Coturnix japonica: one gene and its partners. The protein of the gene in region 3 purifies or fractionates together with the protein of the main gene of each other region. This does not show direct contact. Links are inferred from orthologs where the notes say so. Each region holds a gene or a part of one and is shown on either strand. Other genes may lie near its edges.

The links.
Region 1: the proteins of SLC7A1 (region 3) and HS2ST1 purify together in Homo sapiens (co-immunoprecipitation; 3 studies listed by BioGRID and IntAct, counting the BioPlex papers as one, with this or other methods). This does not show direct contact. The link is inferred for Coturnix japonica from reciprocal best matches to the Homo sapiens genes SLC7A1 and HS2ST1.
Region 2: the proteins of SLC7A1 (region 3) and STX12 purify together in Homo sapiens (co-immunoprecipitation; 3 studies listed by BioGRID and IntAct, counting the BioPlex papers as one, with this or other methods). This does not show direct contact. The link is inferred for Coturnix japonica from reciprocal best matches to the Homo sapiens genes SLC7A1 and STX12.

The regions. Positions count from the first base shown.
Region 1 is NC_029523.1:13,824,787-13,832,440, forward strand, and holds the end of HS2ST1 (heparan sulfate 2-O-sulfotransferase 1), read right to left. Parts: intron 7,382-7,654; coding exon 7,284-7,381; intron 6,070-7,283; coding exon 5,912-6,069; intron 4,036-5,911; coding exon 3,809-4,035; 3' UTR 1,726-3,808; downstream 1-1,725. UniProt on the Homo sapiens protein: Catalyzes the transfer of a sulfo group from 3'-phospho-5'-adenylyl sulfate (PAPS) to the 2-OH position of iduronic acid (IdoA) or glucuronic acid (GlcA) within the heparan sulfate (HS) chain and participates in HS biosynthesis.
Region 2 is NC_029538.1:1,329,043-1,337,448, forward strand, and holds the start of STX12 (syntaxin-12), read left to right. Parts: upstream 1-3,475; 5' UTR 3,476-3,551; coding exon 3,552-3,663; intron 3,664-4,482; coding exon 4,483-4,552; intron 4,553-4,982; coding exon 4,983-5,082; intron 5,083-6,218; coding exon 6,219-6,356; intron 6,357-6,792; coding exon 6,793-6,836; intron 6,837-8,305; coding exon 8,306-8,377; intron 8,378-8,406. Other genes in the region: guanylate-binding protein 1-like, read left to right, coding at 1-31, 105-347, 419-699, 771-983, 1,048-1,314, 1,447-1,662. UniProt on the Homo sapiens protein: SNARE promoting fusion of transport vesicles with target membranes. Together with SNARE STX6, promotes movement of vesicles from endosomes to the cell membrane, and may therefore function in the endocytic recycling pathway.
Region 3 is NC_029516.1:156,902,564-156,910,762, reverse strand, and holds the start of SLC7A1 (high affinity cationic amino acid transporter 1), read right to left. Parts: upstream 4,107-8,199; 5' UTR 4,079-4,106; coding exon 4,024-4,078; intron 4,000-4,023; exon of another isoform or gene 3,867-3,999; intron 2,573-3,866; exon of another isoform or gene 2,454-2,572; intron 1-2,453. UniProt on the Homo sapiens protein: High-affinity, low capacity permease involved in the transport of the cationic amino acids (arginine, lysine and ornithine) in non-hepatic tissues.

The DNA of each region.
Region 1 (7,654 bases), on a different chromosome or scaffold from region 3:
AATTTCGAAGAGCTAAATTGGCAGTGCATCTGAATCAGGCTTTTCCACCGACTGCAAAGCAGCACAGTTCAGTCAGCATCATCCATAATAACTCTTGTCACACACTCATTTAGCAACACTAGGTAATCTTAATGGGAAATGTTAACAGAATTATAACAGAAAACAACTGAATTCTCCCTGATATTAAAATAGGACTGCTCTGAGAACATGAACAAGGAAACGTGCATTCCTGGAACACAAAAATAGCCACGTATCTTCAGAAAAGTTAAGTACTCAGAGAAAAGGCATTTCAAACAGCCTGGATGGACTGCTTCTTCCTTTCTCATATTGTATAGCAATCATTTTCTGTGCCTGTTTGAAAATGAAGCTATGATCATTCCATTAAAGACTGTAAGAAAGCAAATCCAGAATGAACTGGAATGTATAAACATAGGACATCCTATACCCTAGAACTGTGCCTGTTCATAGATGCACAGGAACACAGGAATGAAATTCTTGTTGCATGGATGCAGAATCGCTATGGGAAGGAGCAAAGAACACTGTTGCCCTCCAATCAGCACTGCCCAGTATACGTCAAGTGCTCCAGGCATGCTGGAGTTATGGCTATGTAGTTGTCGGCACAGCTGAACCAAGTGCCATATACTGACAACCATGAGTTTCAACAGGGCTAGAATTCTGCACAGAATCTGAATGTTTGTTTTGTATGAGAAGTACATAACAGTGTAACAGGATCTACTCTCAACTGTAATTTTGAGGATTACAGTTTCACCTTTCTAATGAACTCAGCCCAGCAAAAAAAAAATCAAATCTCACTCTGCTGTGCAGAGTCTACAGTGACTTCAGTTAAGAGATCTGCGTTCAGTAGGCTGCATAGTAAGTCTACTGAACCTGCAAAGCAGAAGTCTATGTATTGCTGCTTTACATGTTAACTTGTTAAGGGGAAATGCACAAGATAAACTCCGTTCATATACTGCAAAATATTTTTAATACCAACAGACAGCAGGTTATTCATACAGCTTAAAGCTCGTTTTCCTAATCTCTCTGCTTTTAGGAAATCAAAGTTGGGCAGTTCTTATTTCAAAAGAGTCCAAAAAAGTCCGTGGTTGACAAGGTGGCAGCACTAGACACAGAAGCAGCCTATCTGCCTCCTTTCAGTGTTCCACAGACAGCGATGCATTCAGAACACAACTAAAACGATTACATTGTACATTTGTAGCTACCATTTCTTTTTAAAAAATACTTAAGCTCATTTTCCTCCAACCTGTCAGTTCACAGCAAAGAATAGGAAGTAAATCAAATCTCTTACTATGAAAAATATATATTGCTCTTTAAAGTACAAAATAAAATGCATTTTTCTGCTGTTACTGAAGACTCCTTTCCAAAACCTTAAATCCTGGGGTGAACAAGAGAAAAAAACACCTTAAAATTGCTTATGAAATAGATTTCCATAGATTGAATAGGCTTTGCCTACTGTTTTCTTGTCAATACAGAAGTATTTGTACAAATACCTTCTTCATTACTTCGGTGAATGTTGTATATTTTCACTTAATAAACGCTCCTGTTCTCTTAAAAGGGTGCTCTTCTGAAAAATTCTGAAGACAACACAAGAAGGTAAAGAAATCCAAATTATAATGAAGGAAAACAATTTAGTCATTACATCTAAAATAGAACTATCTCTTCGTAGATAATCTTCATGGGGATTATAAATATTCCTTTAATTTTATAACAAACTTTGACTCCTCAGCTCCTTCCTGTAGCTAGGAAACACGTTTCCATGTGTGAGCACGTTCCCAAGCATGTTGGTATTATTAATGACGTCAGTAGAAAAGAACTGGAACAGGAAATCTTATACGGGGTTCACACTGTATCAACGGTAAAGCTACCAGAAGGAACTTCCCTGATTATCTGGGAGGAACAATGAGGTGTATTTTTGAAATTCAAAAAGAAAATGCAAGAAAACAAAGAAAACACAAGACGGACTTGACAGTCTCTCATTATCCTCTCTGTAAATGGACTGTTGCTTTTGGCTGCAGACACCCAGTTCACAGACCATTTTCCATTTCCTTTGTTTTCATTACAAGAACAAGCTGGCTAAAGAAACTCCACTTGGTAATTTTAAACTAAGCCTTCAGCATCATCCCTTAGGAATTAAAACTTCCACAATTCCAGCCCCCTCCTTTTTCTTTTTTTTTTACTCCTAACTTTGTCTCCTCTGTGCCTTCTCTCCTATCAAACTCCATGAAAAGCACTTTAAGAAAAGGCAGGTGTAAGATGTGTAAATACTCGTATTTCAGAAAATCCAATAGGAAACAAATTCTTATAGTCCTCCACTGCTGTTTGCTATAATGCAGTGGCCCCAAACATCTGTTCTCAAATTTCAATTTACTTGATCTACCAGGTGTTTCACATTGTTAATAACGGCAACTCACAAATTTACAATAGTCACATAAGGCAGTTACATAAATACAATTATGTCAAGTTCACTGCATCTCTCTCCACCAGACTACACATCACATTTTGCTTCTTTTCCTCTTAATATAACAAAAGGATGAAAGCTACATTTCCGTAAAGAGAATCCCTGGACAACATTCTAGTTTTAAAGTCATAGAGGTCACTGAAGTGCATTTCTGCAATATTCAACAGTTGACTCAACCAGGAAGTATATGCGATGCCTTTTTACTTTACACATAACAGAACTGGTGCAAAAAAAAAAACAAAAAAACAAAAAAACAAAAACCAACCAAACAGAAAAAAACCCCACTTCAAACTAGTTACTTTAAACCTTTTGGTCCAAATACATAAAATAAGCAGTATTTACAGCATTTTACTCCTTTTGTAAATGCAATGCTTTAAAACACATTATAAAGCACCTTAGTAAAAATATTCTACAGGTAAAAGTATTGAAGTAGTAGGAAAACCCTAACCATACCACAGCTCACTAATGGAGTCATAATATGGATTCACCAATACCTCAGCTTACAATAATTACAAAGAATCCATGGAGAAACTTGATACCGATTTTGCTATTTTTATACCACTGTGTAAGTATTGACTATAACTGCAGACAAAACCAACTTTCCTTGTGGTTTTCCCAACCTCAGTCCACCGCTTGGTGGTGGGTATAAAAAACAACAACAAACAAAACCCCACTGCTCCGATTCTTTCACTTTTTACAATGTCAGTGTGGAAATGATGTTTTAACACTAACGATTAGTCATAATTTTTTTTTAATAAAACCACAAATATAAATATGGGCAATTCCAGCGGCAGCAGCATTTCTCAGCAGAACATGATTAACTATCCCAATCCATACCGTGTGATGTGATTCACAAAAACAAAGCACAGATGTCAACCGGTTATTAACACTACTCATATAGTATACAACCAAGATTTCCATGTTGAAAGCTGGGAAAAATGACTTCCTCTTCACAGAAGTATAAATGAAAATAAACTGCTCTGAAAATTAAAAAAGAGCATTAACAGAAGCATTATTTTTTTTTTCCTTTATGTTTTCAACTAGAGCTGCTGTGTGTTAATCGCTCCAAATTAAAGTGAAGATTTCCTCAGGTAAAGGGTATTAACTCCCACTGAAAGTATTAGTTAGATAAAAGAGGTGAAGCTTTTGCTTCTGGATTACCAACACAGTCAGTCAGTATCCATTGCCCTGGAGGTGATCCACAGCCCACTCTTCTCGGACCTATAGAGAAACATCTTGGAGGTCTAACAAGCGATCTAGTTTCCACGGCTGAGGGCTAAGATGACGATGTGACCAAAGATTTAGGTCCGTATATCTAAAAGTATCGCATTCTTAGTTTGATTTAGGGTAAATCTTTTCATAGAAAAAGTTTTGAGCCAGGATATACAATTCTCCATCTTTTTCCCGAACTGCGTGTGCTCTGACAAACTGAAACTGCTCCAGTGCAAATTCATAGAACTCATTCTCCATTTTCCAGATTTCAGACTGCTGTAGCTTGGCAATAGTTTCTTTTGTGGGAAGTTTTTTCTCAGTTGTTTTCCTAAGATGAGACTTCTTTCCTAAACGCAAAATGAAAGCAATAACTTCACTTTAAAGTTCACGTGATGAAAAAATGTAAACAGCCCTTTTGTTTACAGAGTTGTACGCTCTCAGTGTGCCGATAAACTGTCCTAGAAGTGACACAACTTAATCCGGAGTTTATTGATGCAATATGAGGGACTGGAACATTGCAGTCTCTCACTAAATGTTAATGAATTTTGAATCGGTTCTTACAATTCTTTCTTCTTAGCCTAATACACCCAGCGAATGAACATTTCATTCAAGGAACAGGATTACTTCACATAATGTACTTGGAGCAAGATTAATCCTACAGAATTAATTATTTAGATGTTAATCTGGTATCAAATGTTAAGAGTTTTACAAACTGCAGAGCCAGATACTTCTCTCATTAGGGAAAGATGACAAAAGTGATGACAGTACTTTCCTTAAGAAGAACTATCTGTTGCTTTATATTAAATTCAATTATATTACATTTGCCAATACTACATAAGTTGCATGGCCAGCTCCCAGAAAGTGAGCTGCTATCTATATAACATCTCATTACAATAGGAGCACTTGGACCTTCATATCCCAATTAATCCAATGGTTTGGGGAAACAAAACAATCTTGCACTGAGAATGCTTTCATGTAGGAAGAAGAATTCACAGAGAACCTGAGCTGCAAATACTGTGCGAAGGACAGCAGTCTGTGTGCTGGCAAAAGGTGCAGAGAAAAGTCACAAAGCCAATCAAAGACGTGAAAAAGTTTCAGCAGAAGAAAGGACTCTGGTCAGAATTCTTCAGCACTTTCCCCCGCCCCCAAGATTCTTGTCAGAGAGTTGTGGCGAGTTTCTGAGCACTTTGTAAAATCCAGATGATGGAAGAAAAACTCTCCAAAGAACAAAAGCTACCCTCCAACATGCATTTCGCTCACTGCTGGGAACTGATGATAACCAATAGCGATGACTGCCATATCCTTGTCCTATTCTTACACATTTCTGCTGATGTGAGCTAATGGCTGCCTCCAGAAACCAGGTACAGAGTTTAAAGTATTCATGAGCTGTATGGATATTCAGTCTGAAGCAGAAATCCTATGATACACCCTGTATAGCAGCATTCAGGGTTCTCCACAAAACTTATTGTTTCTGAATACGATGTATAGAATTTTTCATGTTAACTTTCCACAGTTTACGTGATACTGCTTTGCTCTCTGTGTCCTGGTATTAACTAAATTATCCAGAGGCAGCCTTCAAAACTTCTTCTGCATTATCAGTAACTGATTTAAAAATGCTTGAGCTAAAGAGAAATTACTTCAGTTTTTGAAATTGCTGCAATGAAGCAAATTTAAGGAAACCACTTGAAGAAAAAACATCTGGTTTTGTGTTTAAAATTCATTTTCCTTCCACTTCGTTACTTGAAGATCTGAATTTTCATTCTGAACACAGGTGCGTTTTTGTTGTTGCTGTTTCTGAAATGAAAACCCATCTAGAACAAAACTCACCTTGCACTGTTAACTAGGTTGAACCAAGAACAGAACTTCAACAGGGCTTCCTAGGAAACAAAAACCTTCCACTACCAACCACTTCACATAACTGAAACCCTAGCGAGACCCTTCAGAAGTGTTCTGACAAACACCTGCCCCAATTTCCTAAGTATGTAATTTGAGTGTCTGTGATTTGCAAACGTGGCACACCTGATGCAAGTGCTTTTACCCCAATCTCAGTGTTACAAATTGTATAAGACAGAGTTTTCGTTACAGAGTTCCTCTCTTCTGTGGAACATCGTTCAACTGGCAAACTTCATGGACTTTTAAAACTATTCATGTTGATTTAAATAATTCACATTTTCAACAGTGATAAGAGGATGAAAGGGATGTAGAAATCAACCATTTAAATACCTGTCCTGTACAGTTCTGTGGCACCCCTGAAGAACCGGGGCAAAGCTGCCTCCAATAACATGATGAAATCTTCAAGCTCTTCAGTAACTCCCACAAGGAAGTATTCATTAATCAGGTTGTACTTGGCTTGTTCCAAAGCCCATCTGCTTCCCACATTCCTAAAATGGCAGAGCACAATTATAACAAGTTCTGCTGTAAGCCAACAATCCTTGTTCCCTAGATGACGTTTAGTTCATAACAGGACATTTGTATAAAAAAAAGGCAAGATATAACTATTTCTACCTTTACTTCCTTTCCCCATTTCTATTATCTGTGCTTGCATCTAAAGTCTCACAATGTATGGTATGTGGTTACCGTCTCTATTACTGCAATTTTTAGTGGATTTGCATTTTCTTCACTTTCATATTAGATACCACAAACCATTCTGGTAAGAATCCACCTTCCCTCTCACATTTTATAAGTTTAATTGTGTACTAGAAAGTCACTGTAGTTAAGGGGAAGACTTCTCTATTGAGCAACAAAGAGAAACTGAACTAACACTTTCACCTTTCCGGGGTGAAAAATACAGGCTCAGACTTCCTTCTTTCTTTCCCTGTTTGTCCACCTGTCTGACCAACAGGCACTGAGGAATAATTTCCCACTTGCTTTGCTTCTACTAGATTCATTCCATTTGGATGAATGGTACCTGTGATAGATAAATAATTCTCCTTGTTTTCACTCAGAATCCTTCAAATCACTTTCATGTTGGTTTTGTTTTTTCATATATTACTATTTTCTCCATTACATAGTTCTAAAATGCAACTATTTCACATGAGAAAGCAACTTTCTAATTTTGGTTGCTAAACAGTTCTTTAAAGTCTGGGCCATTGTTATAAAATATCTGCATTGACAGATGGACGCTATTTGCTTTTCTTTCAGTCTTTGCTGTGTAACATTGACTGCAGGATGCCTGGTAGAGGTTTAAGCAGATAAGTTTATCCAGAACTCAAATACTTCATCCTCCACAAAGACTTTGGGAGCTGGAACTAAGTATCCACATTCAGAAAGACAGGTACCGTAGCCTGATAGAACTGAAAAATTTAAAGACCCCACTTCTAAAAAAAAATAATAGTTTAAAAAAATGAAATCAATTGTTTTTCTCCAGTGCACGGCATTCTAATGTACTGCTTTAAGTACTGCATTCAGTACTGCTTCAGTAAAACGCTTTTTAAAGTGCCTTTGGAAGAAAATACATCAGTAAAGGACCTTGTGTGCTAAACTCCATCCAGTCCTTCATGCTTTCCCCAACAACTGTGCTACACATTCAGACTTGTTAAAATTGTTTTTGAGTGATGACAAACACAACTAACTTAAGCCATATTTATCTCCCTACCAGCACTCAGAGCTGTGGCCACAGAAGAATGGAATTTGAAGCCAAAGTTTCTCTGGAGCACAGTCTGAACCTCCAGCTGCCACACATTCATCAAAGGTCTGAAACAGAGACAACACAGAGCTTAGTGAGTATCAAGCCTCCCAGCCTTGTTAGTTGCTAGATGTACTGGGGATTGAAAAAACACAAGATATGCAAAAGAAAAAGCAAACTAATATTTTCAAGTTTTGCTCATACAGCATTTTACTGGGAGGACAAAATTAAAATAGTATTTGGGAAACCTTTTATAAATTGAATGTTACTTGTGCCTCTCACACAGGCTGTATACCAAAACAAGCAAAAACAGGCATCAAGTGCTGGTATTGCCATTTTTC
Region 2 (8,406 bases), on a different chromosome or scaffold from region 3:
TACCTGGAGGATGCTCTGCGCTTAAAGCCCGGTACAGTCATCACCGTGTGTTACCATATGTCCCTATGGGGGGTGGCACCTTGCTGATGACGTTGGCAATGCAGGGCACGGGCGCAAGGTGCAGGAGTACAATGAGACACGGCGCTGCCTGTGTGACTTCTTCATACACCGCAAGCTGTTTGTGCTGGAGAGGCCGACGTCTGAGGCAAACCTGGCACGGCTGGAGGAGCTGCGGGAGGATGAACTGCAGCCACGCTTCCGACAACAGGCGGATGCCTTCTGCAAATACATCTGGGAGAAGGCGCCGGTGAAGGAGCTGCCAGGCGGGCGCCAGGTGACGGGCACCAGTGAGTGGTGGTGGCATGAGGATGGGGTGGCACGTGGGTGTGATGTGTCTCATTGGTGGTGTCTCCCGCAGTGCTGGCTTCCTTGGCAGAGAAATATGTGGCTACCATTGCAAAAGGTGAAGTGCCTTGTGTGGAGAGCGCGGTGACGGCGCTGGCAAGGACTGAAAACACTGCAGCAGTGGCAGCAGCGGTAGCTGAATACAAGAAGGGCATGGAGAAGGACCTGGTGCTGCCCACAGACTCGCGTGCCACGCTGATAGATGTGCACCAGCGCTGGGAGCGCCACGCCATCACCCTCTTCTTGTCCCGTGCCTTTGCTGACAACGAGCGCACCTACCAGTGTCAGCTGATGGTGAGTCACTGTCACGCTGTGGGGTTCTGGGGGTGATTTCAGTTCGATTCAGACCTGTTTTGGTGGTGCAGCGAGACCTGGAGGCAGCCAAGGAGGAGTTCTGCTTAAGCAATGAGAAGGCATCGGAGAAGCGTTGCCAGGAGGTGCTGAAGAACCTGTGGCAGGACGTGGAGCTCCGCATACATTGTGGGGACTACGCAGCACCGGGTGGTGCACAGCGGTTCCAGGATGATCTGTGCAGTGTGCTGGATGAGTACCGGCAGTGGCCTGAAAAGGGTATTAAGGTGAGTGGGGTGTGATGGAGCCTGGTGTGGTGGTGCAGGCGGTGCCTCATAGCTGTACCATCAGGCAGATGCAGTGCTGGAGGTGTTCCTGCGGGAGAAGGAGCCGCTGGCACAAATGCTGCATGCTACCGATGCATGGCTGGTGATGACGGAGCAGCAGCGGGAGGCAGCTGCAGCCAAGGAGGCAGCAGCCAGGGATGCAGAGATGTCATGCCTGAAGGAGCAGCAGCGCAGCCTGGAGGAGAACTGCAGGCAGCTGGAGCAGCGACTGCTGGAGGAGCAGCGCCTGCGGCTGAAGGAGCAGGACCGCATGCTGGAGCACCGCCTGAAGGTGAGCACTGTGCCAGCATTGCATGGTGGAACCAGCATGTTGTGGCTGTATGGTGTTGTGCAGTGGTACCAGCGCGCTGTGGATGCATTGTGGCATCGTGCAGTGGTACTAGCAGCACTATCTGTCCCACAGGAACATCGGAGGCTGATGGAGGAGGGTTACGAGCGTGAGGCAAAGGCAGCAGAGCGGCAGATTGAGCGGCTGCAGGAGGAGAAGAAGAAAATTAAGAAACGCTCATGGATCGGGTCAGCTGTGAGCCTCCTGGGCAATGTGGCTTCACTCTTCCTGCCTGGTGTGGTCGGCAAAGTAGTGGGTATTGCCAGCAATGCAGTGCAGCACCTGTTCTAGCCCAGCCATCCATCCCTGTGTCCTGGTTTCAGCTGCGACGGCATTGAATTTTCCTTCATTGCATTTGGTTTGATGTTATGTTTTGGCTTTAGGAGAAAAACAGTATTGATAACAAAGTGCCATTTTAGTTGCTGCCGAGCAGTTCTGTACAGAGCCAAGAACATTTCAGTTTCTCAGCTTCTCCTTCTACCTTGCCAATGAGGAGGGCTGAGGGATACAAGGAGTTGAGAGGGGACAGAACTGAGATACCTAACCTAAACTGGCCAAAGGAATATACCATACCATGTGTTATGAGCTTGATAATTGCTACTTATTGTGGTATTTTTGGCACAGATATACCAGTGTTTTTTTGGAACAACATCATTTAGCACTTTACTTGCTATTTACGTGTCTGTCACGTTGTTTACCATCTCTAGGAGTGGGACTGAAGATGTCATTTTGCTGTGCCTTATGATCTTGACTTTCAATATGTTAAAACTGCTGATTGAGAAACTAACATGGTATTTGTGTTCAACATAGTAATGATCTTTGCACTATGAGACCTGTACCTTGGATGCTATCAGTAATTACACTTCGCTCTGTCTCCTCGTGGCACCACCTTGTGGCACTTTCCACCCAGGGACCCAAGCTGGCCAAAGGGATGTTCCATACCATAGGACATCATACAGAAGGGCACATGATAAAGTGTGGGGTGTTTGTTTCTACCCCACAGCACTACAGGAGGTGGTCCAGCCCCTGGTGGTGGTGGCCATTAGGAGCCTTATCACAGCGGCAAATCCTTCCTGATGAACCACCTGGCCAGCCTCAACCAGGGCTCCCTGTCCATTTTGGGAACCTGTGGGGGGCATTCTGGTGCAATTCTGATGGCAACAGCCACAAAAATGCCTGGATCTTCATGCTGGCACTGCTGCTCTCCAGCACCTGGTGTAACAAAGCCTGGGCATCATTGACCAGCAGGGGCAGGAGAAGCTGCAGTATCCCATAGGGGGTTGAATGGAACTGGGGGAACAGTGGTGAAACCATGAGATTTGTGGCAAAGGGGGGTTGGGTCAAAGCTGGGGGATTTGGGATGAAACAGGGTTATGGGGTGACACGGGACTCGGGGCAAAGCTGGAGGATTCAGAGCAAGACGGGGATTTGAGCAATGCAGTACTTGAGGTGGAGCTGTGGGATTTAGGACTTGACTTGGGATGATACTGGGGGATATGGGATAAAGCTGAAGGATTGGAGCAATGTGAGACTTGGGGCGAAGCCGTGGGATTTGGGTAATGCAGTACATTACAATACAGTAAAGCTGTAGGATTTAGAGCAATGTGGGACTTGAGTTGAAGCTGTGGGATCTGAGGTGGAAGGAGGGATTTGAGGCAATGCTAGATTTGGGGTGAAGCTGTGGGATTTGAGTAAAAGGGGATTTGGGGAACCTTGTATTTAAAGGTAACGCAGACTTGATGGGGTGACGGGGAATTTAGGGTGAAAATTTGGGATTTGGGAGATGTTGAATTTGGGGGCAGGATGCAGAACTGTGGGTGAAAGTGTGGGACAGTGCGAGACTTCACCTCAGTACCAAATGGAGTCTCACCCTGAGGCAACCCCAGTGCCACTTTTGGGGGCAGATTTTACTTTGGTGTGTAGCAATCCCACTCTGGGGTGAGTTTATAATGACAGCAGGACAGGGCTGGGTCAGATTAGGCCCATGTTCTGGTTCATGCGGCCTCCATCCCTTTCTAAGGCGGGCTCCCGTCATCATGGCAACCAAAGGCCTCGACCGCGCATGCGCAGGCCTCGTCCCCTCGCTTTAGGGCGGGCGCTCGGTCAGCAGCGGTGGCGCATGCGCAGAGAGCGGCGGGGTGCTGGCAGCCGGGCCCGGAGGAGCCGTCACTCAGCCGGTCATGTCGTACGGGCCGCTGGATCCATATCGGGCCGGAGCGACGGCCCCGCCGAGGGATTTTAGTGGAATCATACAAACATGCAGCGCCAACGTGCAGCGCATCGCTCAGTACAGTGAGTAGCGGCGGGCAGGGCCGCGGTGGGAGCTGCTGAGGGCCCGGGGTGAGGCGGGGCTCCATTGCTGCCTGTGACAGCGGAGGGATGGCTGGGGAAACAGCATCTGTGCTGCTGAGAGGAGTGAATGTCATAAAGCTTTCTCTCCTCCTCTCTTTTTCGCTTCCTCCTTTAATTAGTTCAGCTCCTCTTAGGATGCTATGGCCGGGTCTCATGCCCAGCAGCCGCCCTTTCCCGGTGTGCTGCCAATTGGAGGTGAAACAAGTGTCTTACAGCTTCAGTCAGGGTGGGTGGGAGCACACAGAGCAGCTGACTTACCATTACAGTCATTAACTGTACTGTGTGTTTGATAAAGGGCCTGAGGAGAAGAGAAACTGAAGCCTTGAGCACTTCCTTATTTCTCTTTCCCTATAGGGGAAAATCAGCTGCCTTTAGAACAGTGTTAAGTGGTTCTTCTTGGTCTTGCCTTGCTGCTTGAGGGAGCAGGAGAATTGCTAGGAGCCCACCAGGTGGACTTTTGTCCTACACGATGCTCCCAGCATCTCTTACTGACGTTAAAGAGCGTGAAGCTGCAGAATACAGCGAGTCAGCTGGCTCATCTGTTCAGACATTCCCTTCTGAGGCTGGGAAGGGGTGGTTACCTTGCAGGTATATTAACAGTTTAATGGGGATGTTGAAATGCAGAGTCTAAGTGTTGTGTTATCAGCTTGAGTTAAGCAAAATGTTGAGAGAGGTCCTTCACTGGAGAAGCTTTCTAGCTTAAAGTAGGGATAAAATACACTAGAACTCATATTAATCTTGTGGTCTCTTTGTCTTCAGCTGCTCAGATAAAGAATTTGATGAGCCAGCTGGGAACCAAGCAGGACTCCAGCAAACTGCAGGAAAACTTGTAAGTATGAATTGGATAAACACTGTTTAGGCTCTTTTATTTTCACCTTTATTCTTAGAAGGAGGGAGTTACTTTGGAGAGATGCTTTACTGCATAAACTTAATATAAACTTAATTGTATGTGAATGGCTTCCTGTGTTGTGATGCTAATGGAAGTGTTGCTTCAGTAGATCCTTTGCACCAGCAGCTTTGAATCACAACCTTGTTGGAAAACATAAGAGCTGGAAGACTGGGGAAGGCCTTGCATTTCCCAGAGCTGAATCTGTATCATTCTTCTCTGTGAAGTTTCATGGATCTGCAGGAATTCAGTATCTGAGTTCTTAAAGATGTTTGAGCTCAGAAACCTTACTTGGTCTTTATTGCAAAGATTGAAATGCTTGGGTTGCTTTTTGGAAGAAACCTGTGTAACTATTTCTGAACTATTGTTTTAGACAACAGCTACAGCACTCTGCAAACAGCTTGGCCAAAGCGACCAATGAGTATCTCAAAGAACTGGGATCTCTACCACTTCCTCTGTCTGCTTCTGAACAGGTATGCAGGTAGAATTTTCTAGAGCTTTCTTTAGTTGCTTACTTGATAAGCTGGCTTAGAGTGCAATTTCACGGAGCTTAAACTGGCACAGCTGAAGATACAGCAGCTTTCTGCAATGAAAGCAGTTGTTGAAGTGGGAAGACGAACTCAGTCAGCTACATCCTGACTGTATGATGCTGAGGGGGAATCATTTATCAGCAGCAGATAGCTCTAAAACTTTGGGGAAAGCTGAGTATGTAGTTCTATTTCTGAGAAAATAATCTTGTTTACAGAGCAATCTGGTGATGCGAGACCATGTTTTAGGATAAAAACTCAGTGCAAGCTGAATGTCAGTATGAATTGTAATTACATCAAAAAAACTTTTCCTTCCACGGGATTTATGGCCTGAACTGAAGGTGGGGGAGGGAAGGAGCTGACTCAGGTTACTCACATTTAAAGAAACCTGCTGAGGTGACTTTGTCTCTGGCAAAACAGTCTTTCAGGGCATCCCTTCCTGTGGGGAAGGGAAGGGATGGGCCTCTGCCTTTGGAGTCTTCTGTCTCCACTTTAAATCACTGCCACAATACTGATTTACCTGCTCCTGTGATACTGTTATGGGATGATCTGTGGATATGGGTCAGCAGATGTTGTCTTAGTAGATCCAATTCTCTATCTAAAGGTTTAAATACCAGTTGTAAATACGGCAGTGTTTCGTGTATTTGTTCAGAAAGTGTTTTTCAGTTAATCTCACTCTGGTAAGCAAAGTCCATGTTGCTGAATGTGGCAGTGACTTCTGTAAGTGAGTGAAGCTGAAGAATTTCTGTAGTGGAAAATCAACTGTAAGAATCAGCTGTAGTACTGACTGTCCTTGGGTCAAGTCTTTTTCTCAGCTACTTGTTTCCCATGTACTGGATGTCACAACCTTCAAAGGGGACATGCCAGGGAAACATGCACAGGGCAGTTCCACAGTAGGTAGAGCATAGAGCATTTGGTATAACATGAAAGTGTGATGGGCTTTTTTTTCTCCTGTTTCTACCCCAGAATGCTGGGAAGATCACTTACATGTTAGCATTTACTTTTCATTTTATGTTTTGGAGAGTCTGATGGTTACAGTAACACGAATGGTAATATCTGAACGTTTGTTTTTGTTTCTTTAGCGTCAACAGAGGCTTCAGAAAGAACGTTTAATGAATGATTTCTCTGCAGCCTTAAATAATTTCCAGGCAGTACAGAGGCAAGTGTCAGAGAAGGAAAAAGAGACTGTAGCAAGGGCAAGAGCTGGCTCCCGTATCTCTGTAAGTATTTGTAGGCATTCTGTTGTGATATGGTGGACTACAAATCATTTTGGAGATCTTGTCTTTGCCCACTGGCTTCATGGTTGTCTACTGATGCATTACTGATCACAAATGAGGCCTCAGTAGGTTGTTTTGCTGTTCCAGATGTTGTAATTAGTAGGCACACATCTTGATATGCTGATGATACATCAGTGATCTGAGTAAATAGACTCTTGTCTTTGCCTTTCAGCTGCCTCTGATTTGCTGAGACAGTCTGAATTTAAGTCTGAAGATGAATCTAAATCTGGTCTAAATTCCCTTAGGTTAAATCTGAAAGTTGAAGAGACAATGCTGTCTCTGGACAGCAAATGCCTTTTTCTTCAGTATATTCCTGTTGATTTTGCTTGTTGGTAGTTCTGCTGATCTGAAATATTAACACCTCATTTATCTATTCCAGGCTGATGAGCGGTTCAGAGAAGAACAGCTTGTTTCATTTGATAGGTAAAGAATTGCATTCTTGCATTCTCGGGGCACACTCTTAACCTATGTGTAATTAAAATTGTTATAGATATATTGTATCTTGGACAACTCTTTTATAGCTGAATGAAAAACAGAAGGATGCTATGCAGCTATTACAGTGCTAATACACAGCATTTAGGAAAAGAAATGCATGACAGTATTTGACCCTGTTGAAATGTAGGCTGTCCCACTGGGAATAGTTCAGTCTCTGTTATATGATAATTGGCCCTCCTGGTGTTCTGGACTGTGAGCACAAGATTACCAGACGTATTTTCTGTCACATAACTCTTTCCACAAGAAAAACTCTTTACTTCTTTTATGAGTTTGGGTGTTATCTATGAGCCCAGATGGAGCCATTGTAAAGCAGTGGATGAGGCTGCTCTAAACTTGGAAGAAATAACAAATTGATACCAGAACATGCGTAGTCTACATCGATATAAAATATCAGACATATATATAGATTCTGCGGTAACTTTGTGCCTGCATAGCAGATGAGTTTGCAGAATGTTGCATCAGCTCTACAGTGTGAGTCAAGTGAACTCAAGACACTGCAGAAGCATTTGTGATTACTGTGTCAGTTTCCACTATGCATGCCTGAGAAATAGAGGATGAAGTATGTAGGCCTTATCTGTATAAACCTTGCAATGTTCTAACTCGAGGCACCTATCTGAAATGTCTCATCCATCCTCTCCTGATCAGTTGTTTGGTGTGTGTCCCCCTTTGTTAGTCCTGAGGTTCCACGTGCTGAGTCAGAAGTGAAAGCCCTATTTTGTTCAGTCATAAAGATGCTGTGATGAGTTTGAAGTCTTGCTCACTATTGCATGGGGTGCCACATAAATACCTGTTCATGCAGAGGCCCTCATCTCAGTGAGATGCAGTATCGTGCAGCAACTACTTTGCATTTAAAATTGTTCTTATGTGCTGCACATCAGAAACTTGTGCCCTAAACACCTGAAGATTCTCCTGTCAACTCAGCTGAATTCCTGAATGTCTCTGCTGTATCCCATCTAGTCAAGTAGTTTATTGTCATTTCTTTTTGCACTTGGAGCCTTTGGAACTTACTACGTAGAGTTATGTCACAACGTGCCTGTTGGGTATATTACAGTGCTTTCAGATACGTTTGCCTCCGAGAAGAAGAGGGAGATATTACCCTAGAAGAACTCTTTTGTGCTGGACACATAGATGACTTTGTACTATTGGTACTGCCTTCACTGTAATCAGTGTGTGTAACTTACGTGGCAGTTATGAAGTACTGTCATCAGGGTAGGTGTGCAGAGATTTTTCTAAACATCTCTCTTGATGTGTGACTTTAATTTGTAGTTCTTGCTAAATTAATGAATTAACATACTAAACCCTTTCTTCGTATCCCCAAATGGCAGATAGCAAGTGAGAATCTTAGAGCCAGGATGCTTGTCAGGTGTTCTTTTGATCTGATAATGTTGTGCTTGCAGGCTGCTCTCCATCAAGACTTTCACCCTGGTTGATTCCCCCCTTTTTGTGGGGGATGGTGAGAGGAAAGGAAGGTACAGATATTCTTAAAAAACAAACTTAA
Region 3 (8,199 bases):
GCATCTCATATTCTCACTGCTTGTGTTGGAGCTTTCCTGAACTGAACAGATACTAGAGGCCAAATGCTCATCCTAATCTGAGACATTCATCAGAGACAAATCTCACTGAAGCTCATTCTTCAAATCCCAACAGGAGCTCAAATACCCACTGGTTTCCCTTCCAATTTGTGGCACCTCCACCCTAAGCCATTGCTGAGCTCTGGATGTAGCCTCTTCTCCGTGCTCACAACATTTTGCTCCTCTCTTTTCACTCTTGCATCAGATCACAGAGCCTGGAAGGTCCTGCTTACTGCACGAGTGGATGTACAACAGTACAGCATCTTTGCACTGCACAACTATATCAGCTAAATTCAGGTAGGGAATCTTTGCCACCTGAATGCCCATAAGCAGCCAGCAATGGTGGGCTCCTCAGCAGGTGCAAATGCAGCAGAGATGATGTGCATATAACACTCGGCCCTTCTCACCTCTATTAAAATGCCTGGCAACGTAAGACAGTTAAGCTCGCATACAGCCAGGAATAACATGAGTCAGGGCACACACCACTATTTAGTTTGAGAATATGTTCTCATGTAACAGCACAGCTTCCAGGGATAAATAAATGATCCGGTACAAGGGATTTTAACCAACCTGCATAAATCAGTACTAGGGACAAACCCAGCTACATAGAAAACCCATTGTTCAATTTCTTCTTATTAAGAACCTCTATGTGGTTTATCGCAAGCTTTTAGGAGGGAATGACTACCAAAAAGTCACTAAATATCCAGAATAGCACAGTTTTCTCCGTAAATAAGGCTAGCAATTAATTGACATGAAAATCCCAGCCACCAGCACTCCCAAAAATCCACAAACCACAGGCAACAGCAGAGAAACCTGCATCCAAGTTAGGGTTGGTCAATGGTATAGATGTTGACCTCCACGTGCTGTTCGACCAAGAGATTCAGGTATGTCTGTTCTGTATGTCCAAGCAGGCAGTGATATTGCAGCAACAGCACTAAAATGGGAGCGTTCAAATACCAGGATAAACTCACCCATAGTGTAAACAGCCACAGCTCTTCCCAGCAGCACTGAGGAACCCGAGAATCTCAGAAGTTCATTGAGATAAACATTCAGACATTTACTGCGCTGACATTTGCATGGGAGCTGATCCTTTTATAGTCAGTGGAAAGCAGCTCTCAGGTCGCAATTCATTTGGGCTCAGATGAATCATGCTGCAGGAATACCCACTTCTCCAGATGTACCATACTGGGAGATGGAGTTGGTAATCTTGGATGTAAAAGGCAGATCTGGCCAGACAGATGCTACCTTCATCATAGTGGGGTACCTCAGCTGGGCTGGTATTTACTTGAGTTGCCCCCAGTCGACTCAGTGCTGAAAAACTGGCCTAGATCTCTGCACCCCCCAGCCTCTCTGTTCTGCCACTCAGTACAACCAGCTTCCCATGCACATGTTTAAGTTGGCAGGACATCACAACTCATCCTCCAGGAGTGGGAAAGCAGCTCTACCACATCCCAGTCTGCTCCGCTGGCAACACCATAGCTTGGCCAATACAATTCTACCAGGGTTAAGCTGGCATCCACAGAGCACATCAGCAGCCAAAGTGAATCACCCTCTCTTCCTCCTGCCCCAAAATGAATGCAACTCACTATTGGACATCCCAAATATGGGCCAAGAGAAGAGAACAAAAGGTGTCGTTTTCTGCTCCCTGAATGCTTGGATACAACTGGAAGTGATGGTTCTGAGAGGCTGCATAGAAGCAATAACTGTAACGTGATCTCTGCCCTAATCCACCTGCACCGTACTTCTTCCGTATCTGAAAGGAAATACAGAACACCACTCCTTTTTGCTCTTACTCCTGCAAAGGCCGGACTCACCAGCTGCACCCAGCACCAGCTGGATTGGCACATATCAGCTCTCACACATCACATAACTTAAAGCAGAGCCACAGAGCTTCGGTGCAGCACCACACTGAGGTGAGTCCAACCTGAGATGTGTTACTAGACTGACACCGGAAAATGGAAGAATAAAATAGAGGGAGTGGCAAAGGTTTCAACAAAAGCACAGCTCCAAGCTGATAACGCTAATACCTGGCTAGATTAGAGCAAGAGTAACGTGCAAACTAAGGAGTACAATGCAAACATGTAATAACGCATTCTGACCCACATTCGCAACTGAATTGCTTTCAATTAGAAGCCTAGCTGGTGTCAGCTTCCTTTACAGCCCACCCAAAACCAGGAGTGCCTTCTGAATGTCTTCTCATTGATGGGCATGAGCCTACAAGCAGCCAGGCTCAAACATATCCCAGTGGAACAGTATGAATCAAGGACTGTACACCCAGTATTCATCCTGCTTAGGAAACAGGATTGCTTTGGAGCCAGCCTGATGAAGGCACTCAAGCAGTGGTGCACAGTAGAAGGTCTGTTTCCTTCTAATCACTCAAAATGCAAGATACTCACAAGCAAAGCAGGTTCTGAAGCACTGCAGCAATCAGAGGGCTCCTTTGCATCAGACTCAGCATTTGCAGCTATGCAGCCCACGCAATTACAGCTCCTTCTCCTTTTGCATTTTATCCTGTCTAAAAAGACATTGAGGCTGACTGCTGAAGGCAATGAAAGTCCACAGAGTATTTGGCAAGAATAGAAAGTTTCTGCCTGTTCTCCCCGAGTGGGAGGCAGGTGTTGAACACACTAACGCTGCTGGGAAGCTGGGTGTGTGTGTGTGTGTGTGTGCGCGAGTAGCCACGTGTCAGACATTTCACAATGCAGACACATGGTGAGAACTGAAAACCAAAGTGAAAAAAGCTTCGCTGTTACAGAGTTCAAACACGCTACTGTCAGAGCAGGATTCACCTCTTTTGCTTTACTCTTTCTGCATGCTGCATCTTGCTCAAGGAAAACCAGCACGGTGATGCCCAAGCCTCAATGGCAGAGTCAGCAGTTACTGTTTAGCTTGCAGAAAAGAAGCTCCAAGTGGGCCTCGCTGCAGCCTTCCAGTAATTGAGGGGAGCTTATAAATAGGAAGGAGACTAACATCTTAGAAGGGCAAATAGCGACAGGATGGTGGGGAATGGTTATAAACTAAAAGATGAGAGAGTTAGTTTAGATGGTGAATTTCTTCCCTCAGAGGGCAGTGAGGAAGGGAGCTGTGGGTGTCCCATCCCTGCAGGCACTCAAGGCCAGGCCGGATGGGACCCTGGGTGGCCTGAGCTGCTGGGAGGTGTCCCTGCCCATGGCAGGAGTCAGGGCTGGGTGGGCCGTGAGCTCCTTTCCACCCTAAGCCATTCTATGACAAAAAGAAGAAATCCATCAGCCAAGCCAGCTGCCCATGAAACGCTGACAGATGAATGGAAACCAGCCCCTTTCCTAACCACAGATGAGAACCAGCAGCAGGGCAGGCTGAAGACCAACAGACAGCAGGACCTCGTGGGGCGTGCTAGGAACAGGCACCTGGATTTTCTGTCAATTCTCAGCCCCTTCTGAAGCTTAAAAACAGACAGCGGAGCACAGAGCGGCTGGAGCGCTCCTGTGCATGGTACGGCCACCCAACAAGCGGCCGGGCTCCCTCCTCCTCACCGCTGGGGCCTTCAACTCCCAGCACAGCACGTCCCCGCCTCGCTACTCCCGTAGGGCACAGGGCCGAGCCGGGACACGCGTGTGTGATCTGTGAGCTCCCCAGCCCCGCTCGGGGGGCTCGGAGGGAGGCAGGCCGCCGGGCAGCCCCTACCGCAACCCGCGACCCCCAGTATTGCATCATGCAAAATGGATTCCACGCGTAGCCCGCACCGCCCGGCCCGAGCCCCGGCCCCATCCCCATCTCCATCTCCATCTCCTCCCGCAGCCAGGGCAGCCCCACTCCGGCCCCGCACTCACCCCCGGCCCCACGCCGGATTCGGGCTCACACGTCAGGCGTCCCGCACAGCCATAGCAGCGCCCGCTCCGAACCAACGCTTTACAGCTCCGGATCGGGCTCGAGCTCCGCCCCCGCCCCGCGATGAATGGGAGGCTCGGCCCTCCCAGCCCGCCGTACCTCCCTGGGTCGTTATGGAAGCGCTGGGAAGGTGTTTGTGGGGGGTGTCCGGCATCAGGTCGGGCTCAAGTGCTGGGATCACACCGGTAGTCTTTGCAGATGGCGGCCGCCCTTGTGGCTGGCCTGGGCCGCGATGAGTGAAGAGAGGTTGGGCCACATGTAAGATATATAATATCATTCATGCATGTAAATAACAAAACTACTTTTGTTTCTGTCATTTTTTATTGAAATGTTTTAAAAAAGCAACGGAAACATGGAAAGAGTGGGATATGTGGCCTTGTTTTTGTGACATTCACCTATCAGTGACAGTACCTATCAGTACTCAGGATGCTCAGGGCCCCATCCAACCTGGCTTTACACACCTCCAAGAATAGGGTCATCCACAACCGCTCTGGGCAACCTGTCCTAGTGCCTCACCACTCAACTGATCATTTTTGTGTCCCTCCTCTGGACCCTCTACTAAAGCTCAACACCTTTCCCGTGCTGAGGGCACAGGACTTTCAATGAATTCTTCTCCCAGTCTCTAAACATATCTGGGATTACCCTGATTTGCACCATCATGGAGCCATTAACCACAACGCTCCAGATGTGACTTTCCAACCAATTCCTTATCCACCAAATAGTCCACCCTTCAAATCCATCTCTTACCAATTTAGAGATAAGAGTGTGGTGGGGGACCATGCCAAAGGCTAATTTGACCAGTGTACCTGTAGAATTCCTTCTGGCTGTTTTTAATATTCCTTTCAAATTTCAGTTCCATCTGTGCCCTGGCTTTCCTAATCCCATCTCTGCATATCCAGCATCATCCCTGTGTTTTTCTCAAGTGACATTTCCACTGCCTGTACATGCACTTCTTTTCCCTCAGTTTTACCAGTAGGTCTGTGCCAAGTCATGCTGGTTTCCTCATTCCTTGACCTGCTTTCCTATTCTGAGCAATGGAGAGATCTTGCTCTCTCAGAAAGGCATCCTTTACTCCACTCCTTTACCTCTTAAGGACAGCCTCCCAGGGGATCTGATCCAGCAATTCATTCAACAGACTGAAGTTCACTCTCCTGAAATTACAGAATCACAGAATCACAGAATGACCCAGGTTGGAAGGGACCTCAAGGATCATGTAGTCCCACCCCCCCTGCCTGGCAGGGCCACCAAACATACACATTTACTAGATCAGGTTGCCCAGGGCCCGTCCAACCTGGTCTTGAACACCTCCAAGGACGGGGCATCCACAACCTCCCTGGGCAGCCTGTTCAGGGTCCTGACTCCACTGTTTGCCAGGCCCACATTCCTCAAGATCATGAACTCAATGAAGGTGTGGTCGCTGCAGGCTGGGCTGTTTCCAGTCTTGAAATCCTTTAATGATCTCCTCTGCACTGGTGAGCATCAGGTCCAGCAACACACTTGTCAGTCTGTCCAATATCTGAACCAGAAAGGTATCATCGATGTACTCCAGGAGTCTCCTGGATAGCAACAGTGTCCCCTTAATCAGATGGCCTGTAGTAGACCCCAGCTCCATATCTTTTCAACACCTTCCCAAGTGACATGAAATCTTTTTTTAATATATATTTTGTAATTTTCTGATTGCAGCTTCGTGTGACCCAGCTTCAAAGATCAGGAGAGGATAATCTGGTTGTATCATACCCAGTATCCTCTTTGTGATGTCCCAAATGCCGACCCCTGGCAGGTAGCAAACCACTTTAGAGAGGTCACCTGGGCATCAAATGGGTACGTCGGTGCTTCTCAGCAAAGAGTCTCCAATTACTAAGATCCTTTGCTTCTTTTCAGGCATTTAGACCTTCCTAATGTGGTCGCTCCTTTCTGGTTCTGAGCCTCTACGCACACCTTCTTTTCTCTCCCACACCAGAGCTTGAAATCTCCTGGTCAGTAGGACTTCAGGAGCAAGGGAGAGGCTTCTCCTTTTGCCCCATGCAGAGACAAAGTTTCAACCTCCTTCACCCTGCACGTGTTTACTCTCTGTCAGGTGGGAAGCCTGCTTATCTTCCTCCCCTGGTTGGGCCCCAAGACAGGGTAGTCTGTCTACCCACACCACCCCATGAGACCAGGCATCAGCCTCTCAGACTGCTGAATAACTCTCAGCCTGGCAACTTCCTCTCACAGCCTGTTCAGCTGCTCAGAAAGATCATCAAGTTGGGCACACCTGCACCCACAACACCCCTCACCTACCTCAGTCCCTTGTGTGATCTCCAGATTCCAGAGCTTCCCATGGCTGAAGGTCTGGGCAGCCCCCTTGTTCCTCAGAAGGTTCATCTGGGTGCATACGTCAGCCCAAAAAGGCTCTGGGCCCCTATCTGTGTTTTCTGCCCCAGCTTGCCTGCCATGCTGGGTGGTCAACCATTCCCATGCAGCCCCAGATTAAAATTATCACTAAAAAATCATGTAATCATGTTAAAAGCTTATGTTTTTGTGGGGTGACATTACTGGCTGTCCTGGGCTGTGTGCAGCTTGCAGGCTACAGGTTGGACACGTCTGATCTAGACCGATGTGCTGGTCCTGAGGGTTGTCCAAACAGACCTGTCAGGAAACTAGGATAAAGCAAACACATTAAGATACTTCCTTAGATCACTCTTTTGATCTCCAGTAATTCCAACTGAGAAAGAAATTATATCTTTGTATATAGTACATATAATACCCTTGATGTCCTTCATTTCCATTACGTTCTCCACATTCCCTTGATCCCTTGCAAAATGTTAGCATTTACAACATCCTGTGAGATACAGTTCCACTGTGTTGCCACACATAGCTTCAAATACAACATTTTGTTTCCTTTGAACCTGCTACTTGCTAGTTTTCCTCTTCCTGCCCTGGCAAAGACAGCGGACAACTGATCGCTGTATCTTTGCTGGCTTTTATATGCCTTTCTCACATATATCTCTATCGTAGATCTTTCTTTCTAATCTGGAAAGTCATGACTTGATCATCCTCTTTACAGAAGATGCTTCATGCCAGTGCCCTCCTTGAACTTCCTAGTCTCATTATGAGGAAGCTGCCCGAAGTACACCAGGTGACTCAAACCCTACAAAGACCTGAACGCATCTCAACTACGCACACAACAGTCCCTACTTGTACCACCCTCCAAGATGGCATGTCTACACATGCAATAGTTGCCCTGGGCCATAGCAGTGCCAGGCATCACTAATAGTGTGGTATTCACTTCATCTATACTTGTGAGTTGATCCGGGGAACATTAATGGAACTTGGTCATAGAATCATAGAATCACCAAGTTTGAAAAGGCACCTGTTTGTAATATGCAGTGTAAGTCAAATGAACCTTGATGATCTTTTTATCTCTCTTCCTTCTCTTGCTTAGCTGTGAGGGTGATTTTCCCCTTTCCAAGTTAGCGATAACCTTTGGCAAATAAAATCACTGAAAAATAATTACAAATGGATATTTCCCTTTCACTGAGAGGACTGTCTTTCCTGCCATGCCCAGAGTGATACTCTCATGCTTTCTGGTTTATTCCATTCCTTTCTTCTCTGCTTGGGCACTGATGAATTTAGCATTAGTTCAGCGACCCAGGAATAAAAGGAAGCACATCAAACAAAGGCGATTCAATAGGAGCTATAGATTCAATAGACCAAGAGGTCAGCTTTGAGTTGGACAGTGAATTTTACAGTCTCATCAGCCAGATTTTATTCCTGCAGTGTTGAAAACAAGATATGCCACTTAGTAAGATCATAGAATCATAGAATCGTAGAATTCACCAGGTTGGAAAAGACCTTGAAGATCATCAAGTCCAACCGCAGCCTAACCAGAACCCTAACTCTAAAAACCCTCCACTAAATCATATCCCTGAGCACCACATACAAACAGCTTTTAAACACAACCAGGGATGGCGATTCAACCACCTCCCTGGGGAGCCTATTCCAGTACCTAACTACCCTTTCTGTAAAGAAATTCTTTCTAATATCCAGGATGCAAGTTCTGTAGAAGTTCTTCCTAATATCCAAGATGGCAAGAAACGACCTTTATGCATTTTCATAGTTTTACGGCAAATCCAAAGGGACATCTCGGAATGCACTTGGACAAAGCTGTGGGGGGTGGTGATACAACATGAGGCTTTTTGAACTCATTTGCAGCCAATTTATATGAAGCCACCACCCTCAATCCCACCCTTTTCTCTGTAATCTTTTCCTAAAATAACCAAAGCCAACATCCTG